Saccharomyces cerevisiae S288C: one gene and its partners. The gene in region 1 interacts genetically with each later gene. Each region holds a gene or a part of one and is shown in the gene's direction. Other genes may lie near its edges.

What was found.
Region 2: mutations in EMA19 (region 1) and CBT1 together harm fitness more than expected from each alone (negative genetic interaction), as found in Saccharomyces cerevisiae (2 studies listed by BioGRID).
Region 3: mutations in EMA19 (region 1) and LIP2 together harm fitness more than expected from each alone (negative genetic interaction), as found in Saccharomyces cerevisiae (2 studies listed by BioGRID).

The regions. Positions count from the first base shown.
Region 1 is NC_001144.5:244,480-248,685, reverse strand, and holds EMA19 (Ema19p), read left to right. Parts: upstream 1-2,613; coding exon 2,614-3,099; downstream 3,100-4,206. Other genes in the region: NRS1 (Nrs1p), read left to right, coding at 260-586; IES3 (Ies3p), read right to left, coding at 733-1,485; FCF2 (Fcf2p), read left to right, coding at 1,709-2,362; MLO50 (Mlo50p), read left to right, coding at 3,514-4,206. UniProt on the Saccharomyces cerevisiae protein: Part of an import route for newly synthesized mitochondrial proteins termed the ER-SURF pathway (ER surface-mediated protein targeting), which retrieves mitochondrial precursor proteins from the ER surface and reroutes them to mitochondria for efficient mitochondrial import.
Region 2 is NC_001143.9:45,214-48,472, forward strand, and holds CBT1 (Cbt1p), read left to right. Parts: upstream 1-1,943; coding exon 1,944-2,759; downstream 2,760-3,259. Other genes in the region: ATP-binding cassette a-factor transporter STE6, read right to left, coding at 1-1,082; ER membrane complex subunit EMC3, read left to right, coding at 2,981-3,259. UniProt on the Saccharomyces cerevisiae protein: Involved in 5'-end processing of mitochondrial COB, 15S rRNA, and RPM1 transcript. May also have a role in 3'-end processing of the COB pre-mRNA.
Region 3 is NC_001144.5:615,832-618,865, reverse strand, and holds LIP2 (lipoyl(octanoyl) transferase LIP2), read left to right. Parts: upstream 1-1,547; coding exon 1,548-2,534; downstream 2,535-3,034. Other genes in the region: phosphatidylinositol 3-kinase VPS34, read right to left, coding at 1-1,333; FAR10 (Far10p), read right to left, coding at 2,675-3,034. UniProt on the Saccharomyces cerevisiae protein: Catalyzes the transfer of endogenously produced octanoic acid from octanoyl-acyl-carrier-protein onto the lipoyl domains of lipoate-dependent enzymes. Lipoyl-ACP can also act as a substrate although octanoyl-ACP is likely to be the physiological substrate.

The DNA.
Region 1 (4,206 bases):
GGGGTGGGATGCGCGAAATTCTATGCCTACAGTAGAAAGCGGTTGTTGCACAAATGATTAAATCTTTATCTCCAACTCACAATACTATCGCGATAGATGCATAATATGTGCAGCTTCTAAACAGCACGGAGTGATGATAAATACGCATATATGTATATATATATGTATGTGCATATGCACGTCCTTTTAAAACTCAAAATACAACATTCTTAGTAAATCCTTTTGTTGACACACGTCGGAACAACTCAGGACGGAGTTAATGGATATGCTTCATAATAAATGTAGTGATGCTATCAAAAGCACCTCCAATAGCAATTTGAGTAATGAGGTAGACAAACAAAAATTGCAATACGATGACCTCGGGAACACCGGATTTTCTGAACTATTTGAGATGGAATCTCAAGATAATAATGATAGCATAGAGGATTTCTTGTTCTTTAATATAAATTTAACCCAGGAGGTTGAGTTCGAGAACCAAAGACAATATGAGCACACGAAAAAGACAAAGAAGCATAACCCATTCTATGTACCGTCAGAGGTAGTGCGAGAGATGGTCAAGAAACACGCATTGAATGGCAGAATATAGTTAAGCCCGATAACACATTCTATTTTTCATGTTTTAATAACGTTTCATATATGAATTTTTCTCAAATATACGATATATACCTAAATGAATATGCATATGGAAGTGAAGTTGGGGATTTTGCAAACTTGTCTTATGTTAATCTTGGCTTAAAGAATGTTTTCCAAAAGGCCGTTCTTATTAATTTTTCTTCTCTTGGTTCTGTTAAATGCTAGTGAATTCGCATTGACGTTCGTTGGTATGGCTACTGCTCCGAATGCGATTGGATGGCTTGCCTTCCTGCCACGATTACTGAACAAATCGAGTTCTACATTTGCATCCAACAGTAGTTCTTTCAATATAAACCACTTTCTTTCTTTCTGTGAAAGTTTTTGGTACTCTTCAAGCAAGTTCTCTTGGATTTTGGTCAGTATATCAATTTTTTCATCATCTGATAAGTCAGGGTCCTCAGTTTCTTGGTCCTGCTCCGCTGCATTTAATGTTACAATTTGGTCATTGACAGCTTGTAAAAAGTTGTCATTCATAGCGTAAAGATTGTCCTTGTACAACCTTGTCTTGAGGGTGCTTATATCTATCTCATCTTGGTTAGCGTTCGTTATTACATTCCCTGGAGAATTCTTTATCATTTCATAGTTCATTTTCGATATGTCATCCACGGCAACAATGTGTCTTTTGAATGTCGTGGTGTTTGTGTGAGTGGAAGCAGTTGAGGCGGCATTTGCATCGGTAGCTGTAGATGGGGTCGAAGAACCTTGTTGATTCAAGCCATCTGCGTTATGAAATTTTTTGTGATGTGGGTCTTTCTCCAAGAAATCTGGAGTTTTGACACTTTTGTAATGTTGAGTAGCTGCATGAGCAAACTGCACCTGTTTATTGGTTGCCAAGAGGTCTTCGAACTTCATTGTTATGATTCCATTGAAGACAGCTATGTCAGTTAACAACGCAATTCCCCCTTTCACACGAAAACCTTTTCTCTAAACATCCTTCTCTTTTATCATAATTCGTGGTTAGTGCCGGCCTAAAAATTTTTCAGCATATTAAAACAGAAGATAGAAAAGAAATAGAAAATGCGATGAGACGTCAAGTTTTCCAATTAAAGAGGACGTGAGAAAGGAGCTGTTAAACATGGATCAAAGTGTGGAAGACTTATTTGGAGCACTAAGAGATGCTAGTGCCAGTCTAGAAGTAAAAAATTCAGCGAAGGAACAAGTTTCTCTTCAACAAGAGGATGTTTTGCAGATAGGCAATAATGATGATGAAGTAGAAATTGAAAGTAAATTTCAAGAGATCGAAACTAATCTTAAGAAGCTTCCTAAGTTAGAAACCGGATTTGATGCTTTAGCAAACAAGAAGAAGAAGAAGAACGTCTTGCCTAGTGTGGAGACAGAAGATAAAAGAAAACCCAACAAGAGCGACAAAAACGATAATGACTGGTTTACCTTACCAAAGCCAGATGATAACATGCGTCGTGAAGTTCAACGAGATTTATTGCTGATTAAACATAGAGCTGCTCTTGATCCAAAGAGACATTATAAGAAGCAACGTTGGGAGGTGCCAGAGAGGTTTGCTATTGGTACCATAATTGAAGACAAGAGTGAGTTTTATAGTAGTCGTATGAACAGGAAGGAAAGAAAGTCGACTATTTTGGAAACACTCATGGGTGATGAAGCTTCTAATAAGTATTTCAAGCGTAAATACAACGAAATTCAGGAGAAATCTACGAGCGGTAGGAAGGCACATTACAAGAAAATGAAAGAGATGAGAAAGAAGCGGAGGTGAGATAATGGAATTTTCTTCGCCACGTATTCCATATAGTATATTGTAAAGTGGTTTAGATTACATAGAAATATTCAAAAGAATTAATAATTTGCATATCGTTTAAAAAAAAAAAACCTTTGAAAACATAGTAAAGAATTATCGGCTTTTGTACAGGATACGAATTAGTAGGTATAAAAGGAACAACCGCAGCAAATAAGTACGAGAAACGAGCCACTCACGTGAAAACATATAGAGAAAAGCGACCGGAGATAATGAAGCTAGGACATCGTGAGCAACAATTCTACTTGTGGTACTTCATCGTTCACATTCCCATCACCATATTCATCGACTCATCAGTGGTTATTCCCGCTAAATGGCAACTAGGGATTGCGCAAAAGGTTGTTAGTGATCACATCGCAAAGCAACACGATTTCCTGCTATCAGAGAAACCAGAATGGCTATACTGGTTTGTAGTCCTTGAGCTAGTTCTGCAACTACCCCTTTTCGTCTATTTCGTCAATAAATTCTGGAATTCAAGCGAATTACAAGTTAATACAAATAGCAGATTGAAAAAGTGGTTGCGTATCTATGGCTGGAATGCCTCTCTAACTACCTTGATATGTATCGTTGTTATTTTCAAGCGTGGTTACATTCCTTACGATGTGCTAAAAACAAGCTTGTCCATGACCCAGAAGTGTCAGTTAGCCTCGGTGTACCTACCTACATTCCTAATTCCTTTGCGTTTGTGTTTTGTGTAGCCTGTGTCGGCTATATATACAGTATTAGTGACTATATAGTTAATTAGTGACATATGCCACTAGTTTTATCTAATTATTGTGCTGCGTTTTGCAGTATTCTTTTTTATTTGAAACGCGTCACAAAAGTTTCGCGTCCTTAGGGAAATGGCTGGTTTTTGTTTTAAAATAGTATATTATCCTTGATGTAATTTAGCAAGAGTGTATTGTAAGGGAACAGTCTGTTACTGCCATTCCCTCATCGCTAGATCCCCCTTCCCTCGCTTATTCCGTTACTTTCGCTTTACTGAGCCATAACCAAGCGCACGCATACATATATATATATATATATATTGTGCTGCACGTATATATAAATAAATCACGCGTACAAGGATACGTTAGCCAAATTCTTTGGATATAACAAAACAGCTACAACTCATGGTTAATAATATCATGCACGAGTACGTACCACCCAGTCAGCGGCTATTCCATAGCAGGCATAGAATAACAAGAAACGATTTGAAAGAAGAGGCCCTACATTCCGGGACCACAGATTGGACAACAATTCTGGACACAACAATAGATAAAGATACTAATCTCATTAGTTATGCTGTCCCCATAATAGACAACTTTGCCATTCCTCGAGCAAACTCTCAGGGGAGTCCTGTGGCCCCTTCGCCGAATCACAGATCAACGATGTACTCTTCTTCATCTTCTTCTGCGTCTTCTGTGTTTTCTGATGGTTTGTTTACTCCAAACAACAACAGGAACTCATCAGGATCATCTTCATTAGTCATTAGACCACAAAAAAATTTGAGTGTAGATTCTTTGATTCAGGAAAATAAAAGGAAAATCAATAGTGAAAAAGAATCGTTATCATTAATTGCCAATAATAACGATGAAACCTTGTGCACTCATACTGATCCATCCATACAAAACCTCATTAAATCGGAAACAAAGAGGAACATCTTAAATTTAAAGTTTCAAAATAGAAACTTATTTCGAAGAGAACTAAAATTGGAAAAGTTTTGGAGCAATTTGAGAAGTTGTCATACATCTGGCGATGAGACGGACCTGCTGTTGGTGATAAGTAAGCATAACTTATATTGGTTTGGGATACCGAACGATTTT
Region 2 (3,259 bases), on another chromosome or scaffold:
TTAGCAAATGTTAGATCACTGGTGGCATAATCTAGTGGAAATTGGTGGGCTACAGTTTTATTTAAAGGATTTCGCTTGGATCCATCTTTTAATAGAGTCATGATTTTTTCCATAGCCACTCCGCCTTTTTGAAGAACAACTATTTGGTGTAATGTATTATTTAAAGTCGAGCCCAGCATAATGCATGAATGGAAGCAAGTGATTACATCGTTAATGTTCAGCTTGCCCTTTTTGATCATTGCGGAACCAAACCAGAATCCCTGTACAAACATAGTCAACGTCAAAAATCTCAAGATCCCAGCGTTTGCAGCAACAAAAAAGCAACTCTTGATGAAGAAAGTGTTACAATTTAGTATGATTTCCTTGAATTTTTTCCTTTCTAGACGTTGTGTACAATATAATCTCACTAATTGAGCGGCATTCATCGACCATGTAAGTAATTGGGCTGCTTTACTCGTTTCAGAATTCTCCTTCTCTGAATATACATGAATCATTCTGGAAAACACCACTGCAAAAAATGTGATTATTGGAGAGCTGCAAAGAATAATTAAAGTTAATGACCAAGAATAGTAGAATGACGTCCCCAGAAGCGCACATATTGCAACTAAATTCTGGAAAGTTATGGCTGATGCCTCTGCGGAGCTTGATCTTAGCTCTTCCACACATCTGTTGATTTGAGTAAAATCTCCTAACAATTTTTCATTATTGTCGTACCATTCCATTGGCTTTTCCTCCAAATATGCCTCCAATATCTGTGACCGTATTCTAAAGCCTTGTCTCTCGCCGATGTGCATCCAACTTGTTAGAGAAAGCCACATTACTGGCACAGAAGCCGCACCAAGTGCCATTACTGCCATTGACCTCTGTACTAGTTGGGAATACAAACCTTGATGTGACCCATTAGCCACGAAAACTGATAGTAGATCGAACACTCTGCCCGTCAGGATAGAAGTAATTGCCGGCACTAGGCCTGTTGCCACGGTACCTATTATCATTATCATTAACAGCCTGTAGTCATTCCGTATGTTCACGTACCTGAAAATGTGATAGTGTTTTGTAGTCTTAAAACTTAAAAAGTTCATGACGTAGCTTGTTCTTTGTTTCCTAGTGGAATTTTCAGCGGCACTTGAAAGCTCTCTGTGTGAACGTAACAACGGGAGATAGTTCAGCCATATCCAGGTTTATAAGCTCTGGTATTTAAATGATGAACGGCAATAATGCAACAGTTTTCATATCTGAAACAATTGTATATGTGCGAAGCAGCGTGTAAATTTCCCTATTAGGTAATTACATGGCAAAAAAAATAAGAAACTATTTTCTTAAAGTACCTTTACCCTTTGTGGAAAACAATAAATTGTATAGTGGCAGAATAGAGAAAAGAAAAAGGAAAGGAACATATTTGTCAGTGCAAGGACCATCATTGTTTGAAAAAAGAGAGGATATTACTAGTAGGTAATAACAGCTATGTCGCGTTATATATATTATATATAAAAATTAAAAAATAGAAAATAAAATTTCAAATGCCCTCTGTGGGAATTGAACCCACGATCCCCGCATTACGAGTGCGATGCCTTACCACTTGGCCAAAAGGGCTGAGTAATTTTTATACCTGCTAAATTTGTGGCTCCGCTATACTTTACAGATTTATCTATTTTGAAGATGATACATTTAGCAAAAATGACCTTAAAAATGAAGCAGGTGCCATTTGCCTATAGCTTGGAAAAGTAGTAATGGTTATTCAAAAAGTTAGCAGCGAGATCTTTTTTCTATCGCGCGTTAAAACGTTTGAACAGATATATATTATTCAGCCACAACTATCTATATATAATATTTCTTCGATTTTTCGTTTTCTCAAGTTTCGTCTTATTGATTGATCAGAAGTTTACTGCGCTTTTGGGTAAAGAAGCATTAAACAAAGGAGAGAGAAATATTGCAAGGAAAAAATGGTGAGCTATGGAAGTCATAGTAGTGAGGTTTCGAAAGTTCTTAAAACGCCGAAGTTTGTGCTTAGGTATGGAAATGTATCCAGCAAACAACGTTTTGCCCTAAAGCGGAAGATAAATTACAAACTACGTGAAAGCAAATATCAAGAATACTTGAATGAATACAACACCTTCGTGCTTTACGACTGGGAAAACAGTGGCGCTGGTAGTCTTGTCGATTCTTCCTACAATCTCCCCTCTTTATGGAAGGAATTCATAACAGAGGGCATATCTAAAGGAGCAATAAACGACAAACTACCGACAGTCTTTATGAAGAGGAAGTTGACAAACTCAGCGTTGGGTCACTGTTTGGGACTTGATTTCCTGACTGATCCGAGCGAGTCAGAACATGAATACAGGTGCATGTTTCAGACAGTTCAGGACATCCCATCTCTCTCGCAACTGATCTTATTCAACAGCATGCCAAACGTTCCAGTAAGATTGAAATTGCATACCATTGGTATAAATATAAATTTCGGCTGCAAACGTTCCCTGATAAGCAACGGTGGTGATCAAGACACTGAAATGAGCGAAGCAGTCTCTTATATCCAGCCTTTATTGGAAGAATCCTCGAGAATGTACCGCAATTTAAACTACTGGAAGCTGTTAAAAATAGCACGAAATAACAAGAAGGATGAACCGTTGGATCAGAGCACGCGTATCAAGTCGCAAGTTAAGCTTTTACTGAGTCAATTGGCGACGAACCGAATTACCTCACCTTCCGTCACGGATCATGGGGGTCACAACTGGCTCATATTCACCAGAAGACGGTTGTAAACGATAAATATGCCATAAAGATCTGCGAACTGTACATATCCATATATAATGCGTATTATTTGGTGACTATAGCACTGGCTTCCGCCATCTCACTAAGAACGAAGAGGTATAATAAAGCATTGTGATGTTAAAGAATGACGATTAACCAGCATTTACAACAACTTCTCTTCAACAGAATAGACAAAACAACAAGCAGTATTCAACAAGCTAGGGCGCCGCAGATGTTATTAGATGACCAGCTGAAGTATTGGGTCCTGTTACCTATTTCGATTGTCATGGTTTTGACGGGTGTACTCAAACAGTACATCATGACACTTATAACGGGAAGCAGTGCAAATGAAGCACAACCAAGGGTAAAGTTAACTGAATGGCAATATCTACAATGGGCACAATTATTGATTGGAAACGGTGGGAACCTGTCTTCCGATGCATTTGCTGCGAAGAAGGAATTTCTAGTTAAGGATCTCACTGAGGAAAGGCACCTAGCCAAGGCCAAGCAG
Region 3 (3,034 bases), 370 kb from region 1:
AATCACCCGAAAGCTTTTGCGAAGATACGGCATCCACAATAGTGAATTCACTGTTAGATTTGTCGGAAAAAGTGGACAGGTTCTCAAAACAGACAGCTTCTACCAACTGTAATAAGTACAATTCCAGCTCCTTGTCTGATGCCTTCTTCAGCCTATTTACGGCGTACGATCTCACTGAAAGGTTTTTAAAAGTTGAGCCTAATAGTTCTAATGCGTCGTCTATATCAATTTCTGCCCATGAGTCCATTAGTTCTAAAACCTCTACTCTTTCCGATTCTTCTCTCAAATTTGTACTCTGTAATAACTTTGTAAGAGCTTTTTTATTGTTCATCAAATAATACCTATATTTCCATATTGAACCCTTTTCATGTGCTGTTAATTTAGTGCCAGGGGGGTAGTTGATGATTTTATTCAAGTAGTCCCTCTTTTTAATGTCCGGCTTCACTTGCTTGTCCAAGTTTGCATTTTTAGATGCTCTTTCCAATCTCCTATACTTTTCCTCTATTGGATCATTGTTTGGTTGGTCAGGATCGTAAAACTTCAATGTGGAGTGATATTTGTCCCCCAAAGAAATTTTGATTTGAGGATCATTCCTATTCGGTTCTCGTAAGTCTGTGCTTAGTCCAGGATTGTTCTTCAAAGTTGGAATATTCATTTGAGTATTCATAATTTCCCTTTCGATGAACACAACAGGAAGCTCTAACATTGGAAATTCTAAGTTTAAGACAAAGGTGCCCTGAGGCCAAGTCCTATTTTCCCGTTGTTTCCTTAATTTGCTTATAGTGATTTCGTCAAGCCAAGGGAGTCTCGTGAATTCACCCTGAAAATATTTATTCAAATTTTCTTGATCTTTGTTATCAGTGACCACTTCACAGTGGTCAATCACATCATAACGAAATTTTAAGGATTCAAACCCTCTTTTTAAAGTACAGTCTTTTAAGTTAAAGATGCTCGTTTCTAGATTGAAAAAGGGAATTTGCTTGGATCCATTGTATTCCCACAAAATAATGCGTAAATGACTGCTAAAGGTAAGCTGTTTGATACGTATGGGCAAAGTCAACCAATAATCCCAGGTTCTAGAGTTTCTGAAAGGAATATACGGCGTGTATATCGGAAGAGTTAAATTTCTGTTTCTCTCTTTATCAAATACCTGTAAGGATACAATTAGATCACTAGAAGGGAATACATTTGACCCTATCAGCATTAATTCAGGGTTCAGGATTTTTTGAGATGGCTTCAACAGTGGCTTATGTCCTTCCAATGACTTGATTTTCACTTTCAGGGGAACATCCAGATCCTGTGAGACACAGAATGTTATGTTGTTCAGTGACATTGTTGGAGTTAAACCCTTCCCTCAATGCTTCACGGAGATGTTATTGTTGTTTTACTTTATCCTTTAATCCTTTTGACTCAAACTTTCTTGAAAAAGTGTTTGATGCCGGATCTGCATATACCGAATGAAGGACTATGTCCACTTATTTAAAACGTTCATATAAAAATTTCATGCACAAAGTCACAATTTAAGATTTGTCGAAAGCTTCAGCCCCATGTCGAGGTGTATTCGCCAGTCCGTATGCACAAACTTCAATGTCTGTAGGCGACAATGCTTTAGCACTTATGCCTCTGCTCTCAAGGAAATGACACATCCTATAAAACCCTCAGCGCAAACGCTCAGACATCTACAATTCACTCAAAGAATACCTTTTCAAAAAGGATTGGAAATACAGGAGACATTAGTTAGGGCAAATTTGGACATCAAAGACATTCAATCGAAGATTGAGAGAAAATTAATACAATTGGATGAAGAATATAAGGGCACTGCAACAATAAATGATAACGAAAAAAGAATATTAGACAAGGTTATGGCAATGAAACCTAATCCGATAATATTAACGTTTGAGTTTGAGCCAACTTATACAGGTGGGAAGAGGATTAAGAAAACTATGACGCCAGATCAGATAGCGGCTTATGAAAGTTTCATTCCAGAAACGCAAAAGGACAACCCACGACCAAAGTTTGTTCAAGTGGAAAGGGGTGGACAAGTAACATTTCATGGTCCAGGCCAAATTGTTATTTACATTATTTTAGATTTGAAAACATTTCAAAGTTTCCCTGCTAAATGCTTGGTTTCATGCATTGAGCAGGCCACTATCAGAACGTTGAAGAATACCAAGATGTGCGACGACACTGACAAGCCTTTGAACTTAGATGCTATGACTACAAAGGACACTGGAGTTTGGGTTGAAAATGGCAAGAAGAAAGTTGCTAGTGTTGGAATACACGTCAGACGTTCCATAACATCGCACGGGGTAGCAATTAATGTTAATACAGATCTATCGTATATGAATAGTTTTGAAATGTGCGGTTTGAAAAATACACTGACTACTTCAATTATGGAACAACGACCCGATGCTGTTGTAAATGTGCAAAGTGTAGCAATTAGTTTTGTCAAAGAAATGACAAAGCTGCTAGGAATAAAAACTTTGGAAAGAATGCAAATTGACGACGTCAATATTTTGAAAAAGAATCCGTGAGACGGATGACTCCCCCCATACTTTCTTAAATGAAAGGATGCTTACCTTTTTTTACATGTGAATATCTATTACATATATACGTACGTATATAATAATCTCTGACGTGAAAAGCGGATCGTGTGTGTCTTGTATTTACGATGCTAGTTGGGGGAAAGGATCTTGAAGACAATAGCTATAATCCCGATGGAAATAGTTCCAAATGTTAATAGTGTGAAATGATTACATAGCGTGTTCTTGATGCTAAATTTGTCAGTACCCTTAGGATTCATGCCCGGGACGCCTCTAGTGTCATGTTCGGTAGTCTTTTTTTTAGATGCAGTTGAGAGTTCTTGTTCTTTCTGTTTGTTCTTCTTCATCATTTGTGAATTCTTATATCGTTCCACTTCTAACCTAGTTTTCAAGTCTTCTATTTCCCTTTCCATGCTTTTTTGCTTTTCATTATTTCTTCTTTTCTTCACTTCAAATGACTTTTTGAAAAACATATGGTCCCTTTCCAACTG